Linked DNA regions of Alligator mississippiensis. The protein of the gene in region 1 purifies or fractionates together with the protein of each later gene. This does not show direct contact. Links are inferred from orthologs where the notes say so. Each region holds a gene or a part of one and is shown on either strand. Other genes may lie near its edges. The genes, in order: ACIN1 and SAP18.

Region 1 (7,089 bases):
GCGGCTACCATTGTGTTGTCATTCCCCGTGCGCCACTGTGTGGCACGGTAATGCTGAGGTGTCACGAGTTCCCTGCCTATGATGGAGTGGCATGACTGTGCTGCGATCACCACTGCATCACACATTTCCTGTTCGCTATTGCCTGGCACTGTCATGCTATAATCACTGGTGTGATGTCATTTCCTGTTCACTTTTGTATGGTACCATTGCTGTGACCTTCCCCATGATGTCACTACTGAGTGGCGCTGTCATGCTGCTGTCACTGTTGTGATTCTGCTGTCCCGGACTCCTTCACACTGGGATCACTGTTGTGATGTCATTACCCATGCACTGTTCACTTCCTGTGGCCTTTGAAAGCTCATGAAGATCTGCGCCAGTTAGTCTCCAAGATGCCATCCTGCCTCTGCTTCCTGCCTGTTCACCATTGCATGGCACAGTTATGCCACAATTGCCATCGTGGTGTCACCAACTCCCCGTTCACTATCACGTGGCAGTATGACGCTGATCACCACTGTGCAATGATCCCCTGTTCACTATTGCCATCGCTATTCTGGGCTCGTCATGGCCGCATCCATTCTTCACCGTTTACTACTGTTGCATTGCACCATTATCCCACGATGAAACCATTCTGCACAACAGTGACTTGGCGTGTGTTCTTGTGTGGCACTGTGATTCTCCCATTGCTGTTGGCGTGTCCCAGCTCTCATTGTTCACTAGTGGGTGGCCCCATTATCCAGTTGCCATCATGGGGTCACGCTTTTCTGCTGTGGTCACAATCATGGACTCTTCGCTGGTGGTGAGTGGTGATCTTGTTCTGTCATCGCCATTGACATGCCCTAGCTTTTGCTGTTCACTATTACGTGGCTATGTTATTCTCTGAGCACCACTGTTGTGTCATGCTTCTCTGCTATGGCATTGTTAATTGACCAGCATCCTGTCCCCATCGTTCACTATAGGTGGGGTGGCATTATTATTCTCTGATTGCTATTACCGTGTCCCAGCACTTGCTGTTCACTATCAAGTGGCCCCATTGTTCTCTCTCACTTATCTACTGTTCACTTGCGTGTGGCATGGTTAGTCTGTGACCATAATCATGCCCCAGCTATTTGCTTTTCTCTATTGTGGTGTGGTACTCTTATTCTGAACACCTCACTATTCACGACGGTTGTGTTGTATCATTATCCCATAATGAAAACTGTTGGTGCTGGTCCTCTCCTGCGCTCATGACTGTTGTGATGCATGCATCTGCAGCTTCCTCATGGTTTGTTCTGTGCTCACAATTGCCCTGCCCTATTCACTCTTGTTCACCATGGCTCCATGGCACGCTCGCTCTGCACTCATGCCTGTTGCATGCTGCTCACTTGTGCTTTCAGGACACGACTGCTTTCTGAGCATAGTGCCTCTGTCGTGTTCACTATTGTCTGCTCGCTATTGTTCCTCATGCAAGGATATCCCTGTTGCTTGCTGTTGTGATGGGGCATCACTGCAGAGTGGGTCCTGTATGCTCAGCCACGGCCCCCCAGACTTGGCGCTAGTGACCAACCCTGGCCCGGATGCCTGGGTCCTATTCTTTCCTTTGGAACAATTGTATCTCAGACAGCAGGGTTCCCTCCCTGGAGTGTGAGACCAGACCCAGACTCCTGGGTCCTGCAGAAGCTGGGTTGTGTGCTGTGAGAGAGCTGTCACAGATGCCTGGGTTCAGTGCACCCTACCCTCCCTCCCAAAACCAGGGGGTTGTGTAAGGCCGGATGGTTTCCCGTGGTCGGTGTCCCAACCTCCGGCCCGGTGCGGGGGAGGGTAGTGGGGGAAGGTGTGTGGGGGAAGGAGGGAGGCTGGGGCACCCCTAGCTGGGGAGCTCCATATTTGCCCCCCTCCCGCCTCTCTACCCCCAGGGCTCCAAGCTGCCCCCTCCCCCCCAGGGCATCCCCTCCCCCCAAACCACGCCCCCCCCTGGGGCAGGAAGCAGCTCAAGGTGAGTGGAGCTGATTACGGACTCTTGAGAAACAGGCCGTTACCCCGGGGCCATGGCGTAACCGGGGCCCCCCCAAGCGCTTGCGAAATCCCCCTCACCCCCAAGCCCTGGGCATGGGCACTACTGGGCCCCTGCCTCCCCATGGTCTGCTGGCCTGAGGACCACCCCGGCCCTATATCTAAATAGGCCCCACACCCAGCCCCCCACCCATGGCTGGTGTCCCCCAAGCTGGGCTCAATAGTGGGGGTCCCCACATCCTGAGACCTCACATGCAGGGGGGGAGGAAGGCTGACTGCCCCTCCCCCATGCAGTCTCTAGTGGGACAGGGACCCACCCCCAGCCAGAAGGGACAGCTGCTGGGGGAGGGGGAGCCCCTGGGGTTCATGGTGTCTCTGTCTTACCCTGCCCCCCCTCCAAGTCCTGGGTTTGGATAGAGCTAGGAGAGAACCCAGGAGCGCTAGCTCTGCTCCCATCCCCCACTCCAAGCCAGCAGGCCTCCCTCCTTTCCCAGACCTGGGAGAAAGAACCCAGGCGTCCCAGCACCCCCGACCCCCACCACGCACACAAACACAGACTGATTCCAGTCCACTCCCCTACCTGAAGCGAGAGCCCAGGTGCCCGGCATCTCCTCCCATTGCAGCCTTGAGAAAAGACCACACGGGGGTGCTGTGCACCCATTCATGGCCCTTTGTCATTCCTAATCAAGCCAATGTATTCCTGCTCCTCTTTCCCTCCTCTCTTTGGACTCTGGAGTCCCTAACTGGGGTCCTTCTTTCGCAGGGGATACCCAAAGTGGGGGTGAGGCCATGCACTCCACTCAGTGCTCAGTCACTTCCTGTAGGTCTTAGGTAAACAGGGGGCTCGGGTGGAATCAAGGAGATCCCAAGGAGGAGGGTGGAGATCCCTTAGGACCCGGCCCCACTGGCGCCTCATGGCTGGTGAATTAAGGTAAGCCCTACATAAATGAAGGGCAACTTCCTACAGGCCCTATGTACACAGGAGTGGTTCTGGGGAAGCCAGGACTCTGCTGAAGATCCAGCAGGGGTGTTACTGGGCTCTTGGTTGCCCTGATTGTCAGCTTGTCAGGTCTAGAGAAACAGGCCCCTTCCTACAGGTCCCATATCAGTAAAGTGACTTCCTGTAGAATCTATGTAAATGCAAGTGGCTTTGGACAACCCCAGGCTCTGAGACCCAGGGTGGGGACTCCTATTGATCCCCTAAGCTGCCAACCCACACTTGGCCCCAAACAGGCCAACTTCCTGCAGGCCCTATGTCAACAGACAGCACCCCTGCAAACACAACTGGCTTTGATGGAATGAGGACACCACTTGGGCCCCAAGGGCAGAGCAGGGGTTTCTTACTGGTCTATTGGTTCCCCAAGCTCCCAACTTCCTAAGGCGGGCGGCAACATGCCAACTTCCTGTAGGCGCTACTTCAACAGAAGAGGCTTTGATGAAAACGGGGGGCCCCATCTTGCGACGTGGGGGGTAATGTGTGTGTGTGTGGCACTGAGTGGGCTCTTCTGGCTGCCCAAGCACCCAGCTTCCTGTTGGCTGCATGTAAATGGGGAACTTCCTGTAGGCCCTACACAAACAAGGGGGCAACTTCCTGCTGGCCCCATGGAAAGAGGGGACCCGGGAACTTCCTGTAGGCCCTACATACACAAGGCAGCAACTTCTTGCTGGTCCCATGGAAACGGCCAACTTCCGGTCTGCTCTACTAAGTAGGGGGGGTCTCCCTCTTGGCTTCGGACAGGCCCGAGCTCGTCCGGAAATGCCCGAAGAAATCACACCAAGGGAACCAATGGGCGCGTTCCGGCAGGGCCCGAAGCTGCTCGAGCACTGACGGAAGTAGCCGAGCGCTTTTGGCCCTCACTTCCGGGTTGGCCCGAGCTCCTTCCGCCCCCCCTTTTCCCTTTTCCCTGAGTCGCCCCCGGAAACTGCCGAAGCTCACTTCCGGGTGTGCGGGGCCGAGCGGAGCACGGAAACCCCCGAGGAGCCGAGGCGCGGGCGGAAACATCCGACGCGGGCACTTCCGGGTGGGCGGAGACAGCCGAGGAACGCCGGAAAGGGCCGAGACCGGGTAGCGGTGAGCCGAGCGCGGCCCGAGGCGCGTCCGGAAGGTGCCGAGGCTAGTGCGGAAGGTGCCGAGCGGGTCCGGAAGCCGCCGGAGCGGGCGGAGGGAAGGCAGCGGCGCCACACAAGATGGCGGACGGGGAGGAGGTGACTCTGGACGGGAGGCCGCTCCACATGCTGCGTGTCGCAGACCTCAAGGCGGCTCTGGAGCAGCGCGGTCTGGCCAAGAGCGGCCAGAAGAGCGCGCTGGTCAAGCGGCTGCGCGGGGTGAGGCGGCGGCGGCGCGAGGCGGCACGGGGTGCAGCGCGCATGCGCCCGGGGAGCCCTCCCCCCCAACCGGCTGGAGTGGGGGGCCCGGGCGCGGCGGGCGGGGGCAAGTGCGCATGCGCGGCGGGGCGCGGGGCTCCCCCCGAGAATGAGGGGGTCCAGGGGTGGGAGGGCGTGGGGCCGAGTGCGCATGCGCGGGGCTCGCAGGGCTGGGGGGATAGGCCGGGCCCTGTGGGGCCTAGGGGCCGTGGGGTACTAAAAGTGTTGCTGGGGACTGGTGGGTTTATAGAGTTGGGGGCTGTAGCCTGTAGAATGCATGGGGGGCTGGAAAAGGCTGCAGGGGTCTAGGGGTGTTGCAGTGGCGGGGGGCTGGCGGGGCTGCAGGTGTCTATCGGGCTGGGCATTTCTTGCAGAGTTGCAGGGCTGGGTGGCCTGAATGGTCCCGGGGGTGGGGGCTGCAGCCGGGGAGGTCTGTAGGACTGGAGAGGGTTGTGGAGGCTGCAGGAGTTTGTACAGAGTTGGGGGTTTGCGCCTGGCTGGTCTGGGGAAGTCTGTGAGGGGCTGGGACTTTGGGGGTCTGTGTGGGCAGGGGTGCTGAAGGTGCCCATGGGAGTTGCCTGCAGACTTGGGGGACTGGGTGGACATCATAGAAGGCAGTCTGGATGTCCTCTATTGAAGAGAAAAATAGAGGATATAAAGGCGCATAGGGTTTTGTATCAATAGAGGACAGAGTAGCAGGAAACTGGAATGTCCTTTACGATGGCCACCCTAGGCCTAAAGGGTCTAGGGGGGGTCCATGGGGAGGAGGCTGAAGGTGTCAGGGGGGCCTGGAGGGGGTACATAAGTTCAGGGGCTGGGCCTGGAGGGTCTAAGGAGGCTTGGAGGGGCTATGTGGGGCTAGGGGTCCTGTAAGGGGTATTGGTTTGGGGACCTGGCTCCCCCAGTTGGTATGGCCAGACCCCCATGGAGGGCTGGAAGGTGCCAGGCCAGGGCCCACAGGCGCGTGGTTGGTAGAACACAGGGCTGCAATGTCCAAGGGCTTCAGCTGGGCAACAGGAAGAGCTGGAGTTGAGCGTGGGGGGCAGCAGGCTCTGGCATCCAGCTGACGGGGTTCTGGGTGGCAGGGGCTTGGGCATTGGCTGGGGCTGGGCAGGAGCAGGGGGTCAGATGAGGGCAGGGGGGAGGAAGATGTTAGGGCTGCTTGGTGGTGGAGGTAGGCCCAGTGGGGGAGTTATCTGGGGCACAGTGGATCTGTGGTCATGCACCTGGTTGTGGGTGGACTAGGCTGGATGGGGGAATGGGTCATTGCTTCTGTGGGGAGGAATGGATGGGGAAGGGTGAGTGAACCTGGGGTATGGGTTGGATTGGTGGGAGGGTTGGGGTTGTCTTGAGGCTGGATTGGATTGGGGAAGGAGGGGTTTGGGGTTGCCTTGGGGCACTTTGTTGGATCGGGGGGTTGGGGTGGGTTGGATGAGGGGGGTCGGGATGGCTGCAAGCTGTGGGTTGGATTGAGTCATGAAGGGCGAGTCAGGGCAGATATGGTCAGCTGGATTGAGACATGGGGGAAAGGTGTAGAGATGGATTTACATGCTTCGTGTTCTGTGGCCTGAGGGTCAGCGTGGGTGGTGACGTGTGTCGGGGCAAGTATTGGATACGGATGGGTTTGGGGGCAGGTCAGAGCCTGGAGTATTGGGGCCGGGATCCTGGGTGAGTCGGATCATGGGTTGGGGTAGATACTGGGGGTGTGTTGGATTGTGGAGGTTTGGGTGGACACGGCTGCATTGCATTGGGTGCTAGACTTGGGGGTGGATCAGCTCAGGTCATGCAGGGCAGCCTGGATGGCATATGTGAGCAATCCAATGATGGGCACCGGGGGAGGGGGAGAAGGCACAGGGACCATCTTGGGGGCACATCTCTGACCCTGCCCTTTCCCTGCCCCAGGCACTGATGCTCGAGAACCTCCAGAAGCATTCAACACCACACACCACCTTCCAGCCCAACTCGCAGGTGAGAGGCCCCCTCACCCCCAGCCTCTCGAACCGCCAGGGACCCCAGCCGAGGGGGGGAAACTCAGGTGTCCGGCCTTGCTCACGCGTCCTGTCCCATCCCATCCCCCTGCAGATTGGTGAGGAGATGAGCCAGAACAGTTTCATCAAGCAATACCTGGAGAAGCAGCAGGAGCTGCTACAGCAGCGGCTGGAACGAGAGGCAAGGGAGGCAGCTGAGCTGGAGGGTGAGTGTGGGGCTGGGGCAGAGCCTAGCTGTGGGGTGGAGGAATGGGTACTTCCAATTGGCTGGGGCTCACATGTCTGCTCAGCCAGTGGGCATTGGGCTTCTTCGGGGCCTGACTGCAGGAGAAATAGGTTCTTATGATTGACTCAAAAGAGCCCCTCCCCCATTGTTTCCATTCCTCCCTTCCCAAACAAACAGAGATTTTCTTTTGGCTGGAATCTCTCCAAGCCCTAACCAGCGGGAATATTCGTTTCTTTATAGTTAGTGCCAGAGGGCAGCAGGGAAAGCAGGGCCCTGTGATTGATTGGGCACCAAACCTATTCATTGGGTATCTGGTTTTATCATTGGACCCTTCCCAGCCTTGTTTTTCTAGTCACTGATGTGGATGTTGCCACCTAGACTAGGAGGAAGGGGCTGGCATGGCTTTAGGTCAAGTAGCAGCCCAGTCATGGGTCCTGGAAGGACGTTTAGAGGGGAGGGATCCAGAAAGAGGAAGGGTTGGCTTGTCTAGGGGAGGATGAACAGTCTAAAAACCATGCTGTG
Region 2 (7,206 bases), on another chromosome or scaffold:
TTCACAAGACCCCAGACAGATGATCGTCCAACCTCCTCTTCAATTTGCCCAAGGTAGGGGCGAGGACCACCTCCCTGGGAAGCTGGTTCCAGATTTTGGCCACCCTAACTGTAAAATCTTGCCTTCTGATCTCCAACCTAAACCTGTTCTCCATCAGTTTATGACCATTGTTCCCTGTCATCCCAGGTGGTGCTGGGGAGAAAAAAGCTCTGCCTATTTGATCCCCCCTGATGAGCTTGTAGGCAGCCACCAGGTCCTCCCTCAGCCTCCTCTTGCTGAGGCTGAACAGATTCAGGTCCTTCAGTCTCTCCTCATAGGGCCTGTCCTGCTGCCCTCTCACCAAGTGGGTGGCCCTCCTCTGAACCCTCTCCAGGCTGGCCACATCCCTTTTGAAGTGCGGCGCCCAGTACTGGACGCAGTACTCCAACTGCGGTCTGACCAAAGTCACATAGAGGGGGAGTATCACCTCTCTGGCTAGGACCAGGTCCAGCAAGGCATTACCCCTATTGGGGCTGTGCACTTCCTGGATAAGATGAAGGTTCTGTAATACAGCCAGGAACCTACGCGAGCAGTCAGACCTGGCTGTCTGCTCCTCCCAGCAAATGTCTGGGTAGTTTAGGTCACCCATGACAATAACATCCCTTGACCTAACCGCCTCCATAAGCTGACTGGAGAAGTCCTGGTCTAGCTCTTCCCCCTGGTTGGGTGGTCTGTAGTAGACACCCACTGTAAGGTCCCTTTCGCCACGTCTCCCTTGTAGTTTGAACATAGCTGTGCTGTATTTGTTGCAGCTGTTCTTTTATGATACCTGATCCTAAGCATACATTCCTTAAGTTTTGCAAATGGAGGTCTGTGTATTAAGGCCTAAACATGTATTACTGGGCCAGATATAACTCATTTTAACAGTGTAATGAGTTGCATTGTTGTCTTGGAAATTCCACCCTACAGATGGCAATGATGTTGAATTACTTCCTTTGATAATTCAAGTGATAATTATAACTTCATACCATAGGGTTGGCTTCTTTGTCAATATTATCTCTCACAAAAGGAAGGGAGAGGAGCGAGGGTACACTAACTTAGGTTTTGTTGGTTCTCTCGTCTTATTTTAGCAGTGGTATAAATCAAAATTAAAAACTCAGTTTGTATTGATATTACATTACAGAGAGCTAGAGATAATTAAAAAATAAACTGGGTTCTTTTTTCTTCTTTATGATGTGTGTAAAAGACCTGAAGGTAGGGAAGGAATTTTAAATTTTTTTTTGACTGTTTGGCCATTTTGTTTGACTGTCCTGAGTCCTAGAAATGCAAGTGCAAAAGTACAAACTGTAGCTCTACACCTTTATGCATGTGTATTATAATAATCAATGATGAGATCACAGGCTACTTTTAAAAAATGCACAACATATTTCATATATTTTCCAGTAGTGTTAGGTACCTGATTCAGATAAGCGCAAGTACAGGCTTATTCAGGGAAGCACTTTAGTTTATCAGTGCTTTAGATATGTAGGTATTGCAGGAGCACCCTTGTAAAAATGCCAGCCCCTGTTGCTAAACAGGAGACATAACATAACTAGGTTCATTTATTGCATCTCTCTAAAGCTCTGGTTTTGCTGGAATCATGCACATTCTTAGCTTTATGCTTTGAGAGTAGTTCTCCTTACAGAGTGCATAGTTAAGGAAGAGTATAAGCCTTTGCAGGATTATCATAAATGTGTGGTAGGTGAGGAGGCACAAAATTGTTACAAAGAATGATCTAGAAAAGAAAATATGCTAGACTATGATGATAATGGAATGGTTCTTTTAATTTTTTCTAAATCAACTTGTAAGTGTGAAGTTTTTTTTCTCACCCTCTTGAGCCTAGTTATCATCACTACTATGAAGATATGAGCGTAGTTATTTTATTTCTGATCCTCATACCAGAAACATACATTTATCCTGTTTCTGTGTTCCACTTGGCAGAGCACAACAGCTGATCTAAGACTGACATGATGCAATGTTAAATTATTGGAAAAACTAGGGTATAAAATAGATAGCATATGGACTTGGTTGTTCTAGTCTGTGATATTATGGGAACATTTTAAATGATTTGTTGAAATCCAATTTATTTTTAAACTACTTGTAGTTAAAGCACTTTATTGCTACATAGTTATCTGCTGTAGACATCTGTTAAAATCTTTACCCCTTAGAGAATTTTGTCTTGTTCTAGAAGCATAAATCACATTAGCTTCTTATAAGCTTTTCCATATATTAGAAAATGTTGGAGATGATTTAGCCCCCAAAGCTTGAGAATCAATTTGCAAACATGAAACCGAGCAGAACAAATGTAGGAAGCTATTTCAGAACATCAGTTAAACTTCATCAGCAAGTGACAGAAGTGACAGATACAAGACTACTTAGTATATAGAAGTGTTTCTACATTTCCCATTTAAACAAGTCTCTTTAAAGCCTGTGAAGTCTACCAGTGAAGTCCACCAATAAATAACAATGATGCCTTAAGACAAAACTACCAGGAACTTGGCTGGATTCAGGTAAAAGGCAACATAATGTATTATACATTGCAAAACAAAAATGAAAAATATCATTGACAGCCCTGCATATTCTACCTACAACAGGGGTGGGCAAAATGTGGCCTGTGGGCCATTCTATCCAGCCCATGGGGCCCCTAAAAAGTTTAGAAAATTAATATTTATCTGCCCCTGGCTGCCTGTCATGCGGCCCTCGATGGCTTGCCAAAACTCAGTAAGTGGCTCTCCGCCCAAAATAATTGTCCGCCCCAGCCTACAAACTACCACTGCCTTGAACCCACAGAGGCAGGCTCAGAAGCCTATTTAGTCATTTGTCAACATTTTGTTAACTATTTCACTGTTCATCATGGCATGTAAGAGAAGAGAAATCAAAGAACTGCACCATCCACTTGGAATGGAATTTAATGTGGATGCCTTTCCCCTGGCCTTTGAGAGAGAACTGGTGTCCTGTGACTCCTACTAGCATAACTAGTGGTGGCAGCAGGGCACCTGCCTTGAGCATTCACTTCGAGGAATTACCAAAACACCCCCATCCCCAGAGCCTTTGCTAGGGTAGGCAAACCCCAGGCACAGAAGCCTGGCAGGCCCCTGGGATTTTTGCTAAGGGAGGTACAGCTTCTGGCTCAGTAGTGTAGCGGGTGGGGGGGGTTGCGCACAAGGCACCGGGAGCAGCCCCTGGGCAGCCTGTGCTGTGGGGGCAGCCAGCACATGACATCCAGCTGCAGCTCCTTGGGGCTATCTCAGTACCTTGTTCACTGCCCAACCCCCTCCAGATACGTTCCTGGGCAAGGAGCTATACTTCCCATGGCAACGTGCCCTTGGGCGTACGCCGTTCTGCTCCCCCCCCCACACATACAGATTGGGTGCTGGCCTGCCCCCCATTTATCTTGCTGGGATCCTTTGACCCCAGCTGACTTGCTGCCCCTAGAGTGGGGGGCTGGACTCAAGATCTTCCAAGGTCCCCTCCAGCCCTAATGTCTATGAAATCTATGAAATCCTGCAAAGGCTTCTGGGCCTGGGCTGTGCTTGTCCTAGGAGACTCCCTCAGGGGGTCACTGGTGCCCCTGCTGTGGCTGGTGTGCGGGGAGCTTGCCCTTCAGCTACAGCAGCAGCTGACACCACAGCATGGGGAGGCTGGCGCAGGCAAGACACCCCTCAGCCCTGGTGCACCAGTTGCTGGCACTCCGCCCAGGGCACGGCAGGCACTTGTGACACCTCTGCTTGCTCCCATGTCACGTGTTGAGGCAACAGGCCATCACGGAGGACGTGTGAGGTCCACATGAGCCAGCACTACCCCAGCCACCCTGAAACCAGCTGCAGGCTATGTGCTTCCCTGGTGAGTGGGGCCTCTCCCTGCTCTGCTGCCTGCCTGCAGGCTCAGGAGCACGTTGCTTGCCCCCCCCCCCCATGCTTTCCACCAGGCCCCACCCCCTTCACGGCCAAACCACGCCCCCTTTGGGCACGAAACCCCACCCAGCAGACCAGGTCTGTCCCTGTAAACTGCGCATGCGCCGAACCATCTCCCCGTTTGCCACTGTGAATTGCTCATGCGTAGAACGATCCTCCCTCTCCCCTCCCTCGCGCGTGCGGACGCCCGCCCCGCCTTCTCTTTGCTGCGCATGCGTACGATCCCCATCCAGCCTCCCGCGAGCTCTCGCGAGAGGGGCAGTTGAGGCTGCACCCCAGACATCCGGGTAACTTCCTTGGAGGCCGGAGCCGAGATGGCGGTTGAGTCTCGCGTCACGCAGGAGGAGATCAAGAAGGAGCCGGAGAAGCCCATCGACCGCGAGAAGGTGCCGGCGGGGCCGGGCCGGGCGGGGCGGGGCGGAGAGGGGCCGCGGGCGGCATTGACGGGCTGTGCTCGCCTTGCAGACGTGCCCGTTGTTGCTGCGGGTCTTCACCACCAACAACGGACGGCACCACCGCATGGACGAGTTCTCGCGCGGCAACGTGCCCTCCAGCGAGCTGCAGATCTACACCTGGTGCGTGCCCCCCCGCGGCCCTGCCCGCCCCGCGCCGCCTGCTGCTGACTGGGAGTCCCCCCCCCTCCCCGCCTGTTCTCGGTTCAGGGGGGAGGGAAGGATCAGCGGGGGCTCGTTCTCGGGGCTGGCGCTGGAGCTGGGCAGGTGTATTGGAGCCCCCCACACCTGGGGGCTGGATAACCCCCTTCCACTCCCACCCCCCTCCCATTGTGGAAACAGCAAGGGGCTGGGAGGCGGTGCAGACAGATGTCACAGAAGACGCTCTGCCTTCAGATGTCTTTATCTGACCCCTCATGCAGCGAGGGTTCAGGTTTTTCCCCTTTTCGGCCATTTTCAAAGCAGTCTGCGGCCATGCGCTTGTGTTTGGTCACGGCTGTTGCCTGCTTTCTGTGTCCGCGTCGGATGAAGAGTGTCACTTGTGTCTGCGCTCTTAGAAGACGAGAGCTGTGTTAGGAGTCTTGTTAAGTGTCAGGGCTAAGCCCTCCTTGTTCATGGAGTTGGGGGGGAGGGAGGGAGGGTTGGTCAGTTGCACCTACCCTAGCAAAGACTGATGGGTTCCTTGTGCAAGTTGCCTGACATCTCTCTCTCTCTCCCTCTTTTTTTTAGTTATTTTTTTCACTTCCTTAGTCTCTCTTGTAAGGGTTTAAAAAACAATACAAAAATAAGTGGTTTTATTGCTGTCAGCTGAAGATCCCTTTGTGCTCTGTAGTGTATAAATGTATAAAACCAGGTCAGTGCCCTAAAGAACTGTGTTCTGAAGTAGACTAGAAAATGGGTAGAGAGGTCACGGCAGTTTGGAGCGGAGCCAGGGTTAGACCCCAGACTTTCTGAGTATGAGATCACTACATGTTTGGGGGGTGGGAGGGAGGGGATATCCTAGCAGGTGTTCTAGTTACTAGTGAGTACTCATCCTGGACATGTTTTGAATACTTTGAATGTTGAAAGGAAAATACTTCAAAACCCAAAATACTTAACCACGAAATGCTTCTTGTGTCATTTAAATACATAAAAGTATTGAGTTATGCAAGAGAGAGGTGTTTTTAGAGTTGTCTATGATTTAGACAAAAAGTCTCACAGATGACATTTTTAGTAAGTGTAAGATTTTTAAGAACTTCAAATAAAAAAAGAAACCCTCCCCACCTTAATGATTTTTTTTTCTTTTTAAAATCTAGGATGGATGCAACTTTAAAGGAGCTGACAAGTTTAGTGAAAGAAGTCTATCCAGAAGCACGGAAAAAGGGAACACATTTCAATTTTGCCATTGTTTTTACAGATCTCAAGAGACCTGGTTATAGGTAACTGACTGAAGTCTTATTTGCAGTAACAGTTTATGTTCCATGTTGTATGAGAGAAGTTCTTCATAGTAACAGAGTGCATGGCAATCGCTTGTTAATATTTGATTTTTTTTTTTCAGTTACTATTCCTGTTTCTCTTTTCTAAAACACTGAGAAGTGTTTGCCTAAAGATGTTGGTCACTAGATTATCTGCCACCCAGAATACGCGCCTGTAGATAGGAGTGGAAACAAAAAGGCTGTTTCTGGTAGTAAGGGTAGTAACTGTATCACCATCAAGAGTTTGCTCTTAGCACAAATTTATTTTTTTTAATTAAAACTGGATAGGGACAGTTTTTATATGAGCTCACCAGAAACTAGTTGAAAAAGCAGGGGCTTGGGTCCTGCTATATTTCTTGCATTTTCTTTACCACTTCTCTTGTGTCTAACTTGCCAGATACTTCAAGCTCTGACAGGGGAAAAGTTGATGCAACTTTATTTACTTATTTTATGTCTAGTGTTGTATCAGAGAAACAGCTAATACTGTATTAAGAAGGGAGGCAACGTCTTTGTATCCCACTAACTGAGGAAAAACTTAACAGTTCATCCCCTTCAGATCCTGTTTAGTCTGCAAATCTCTCTGACATTAAAAAGAGACTGACTTGCTCTTTTGTTGTGTAATGAAATGACGTTTCATATCTTCCCTTCAGGGTGAAAGAAATTGGCAGTACGATGTCGGGAAGAAAGGGCACAGATGATTCCATGACGCTGCAGTCTCAGAAATTCCAGATAGGGGACTACTTGGATATAGCAATTACGCCTCCAAATCGGGCACCACCCCCATCAAGCCGCATGCGACCATATTAAAGTGTCATTTTTTTGTAGATGACTGTATCTTCCAGTGGGTTTCACATGCTGTAGGAAACAGGCCTTTTTTATTACTATTGCTAAGCAAGATCTGAAAACACTTCTAAGCCTTGACAACAAGAGTTAAATAATTAATTTTACTGCGTGAGTTTAAAAGAAACAGTATCTGAATCTGCTTTGTTATCTCTTCTTTCCTAGCTGTTATGATATGAAAAGTGAATAGAAATGTTCAGTGTTTCAAGATTTATGTAAAATGTGACTGAGAGCTTAGAAGTGCTCTTACCATTCTGTTAAAAGCCATGTAGAGTGGAATAACATTATTATTGTTTTGAACATGTTTCTGAGTTTGAAGACTAGATCAGGCCTGATTTAATGGTGGTTGAGCTTGATTAAAAACAAACCGCTCACAGGAGAGAGAGTGCTTTTCTTGACTGACTTGCTACCTAGCAGCATGTGAACAGTGGCATCAGTGGGAGAATCCTTGTGTATGATTACTTTCCAGAAGTAAGTCTCCAAACAACATTTTGTTTGTTGTTTTTTTTTAAAGAGTAATTATCTTTC

The links.
Region 2: the proteins of ACIN1 (region 1) and SAP18 fractionate together in Homo sapiens (co-fractionation; 7 studies listed by BioGRID and IntAct, with this or other methods). This does not show direct contact. The link is inferred for Alligator mississippiensis from reciprocal best matches to the Homo sapiens genes ACIN1 and SAP18.

The regions. Positions count from the first base shown.
Region 1 is NC_081830.1:7,377,826-7,384,914, reverse strand, and holds the start of ACIN1 (apoptotic chromatin condensation inducer in the nucleus), read left to right. Parts: upstream 1-4,053; 5' UTR 4,054-4,176; coding exon 4,177-4,314; intron 4,315-5,835; exon of another isoform or gene 5,836-6,021; intron 6,022-6,255; coding exon 6,256-6,321; intron 6,322-6,435; coding exon 6,436-6,547; intron 6,548-7,089.
Region 2 is NC_081824.1:433,379,599-433,386,804, reverse strand, and holds SAP18 (histone deacetylase complex subunit SAP18), read left to right. Parts: upstream 1-4,199; 5' UTR 4,200-4,246; coding exon 4,247-4,318; intron 4,319-4,397; coding exon 4,398-4,507; intron 4,508-5,679; coding exon 5,680-5,802; intron 5,803-6,488; coding exon 6,489-6,645; 3' UTR 6,646-7,057; downstream 7,058-7,206. UniProt on the Homo sapiens protein: Component of the SIN3-repressing complex. Enhances the ability of SIN3-HDAC1-mediated transcriptional repression. When tethered to the promoter, it can direct the formation of a repressive complex to core histone proteins.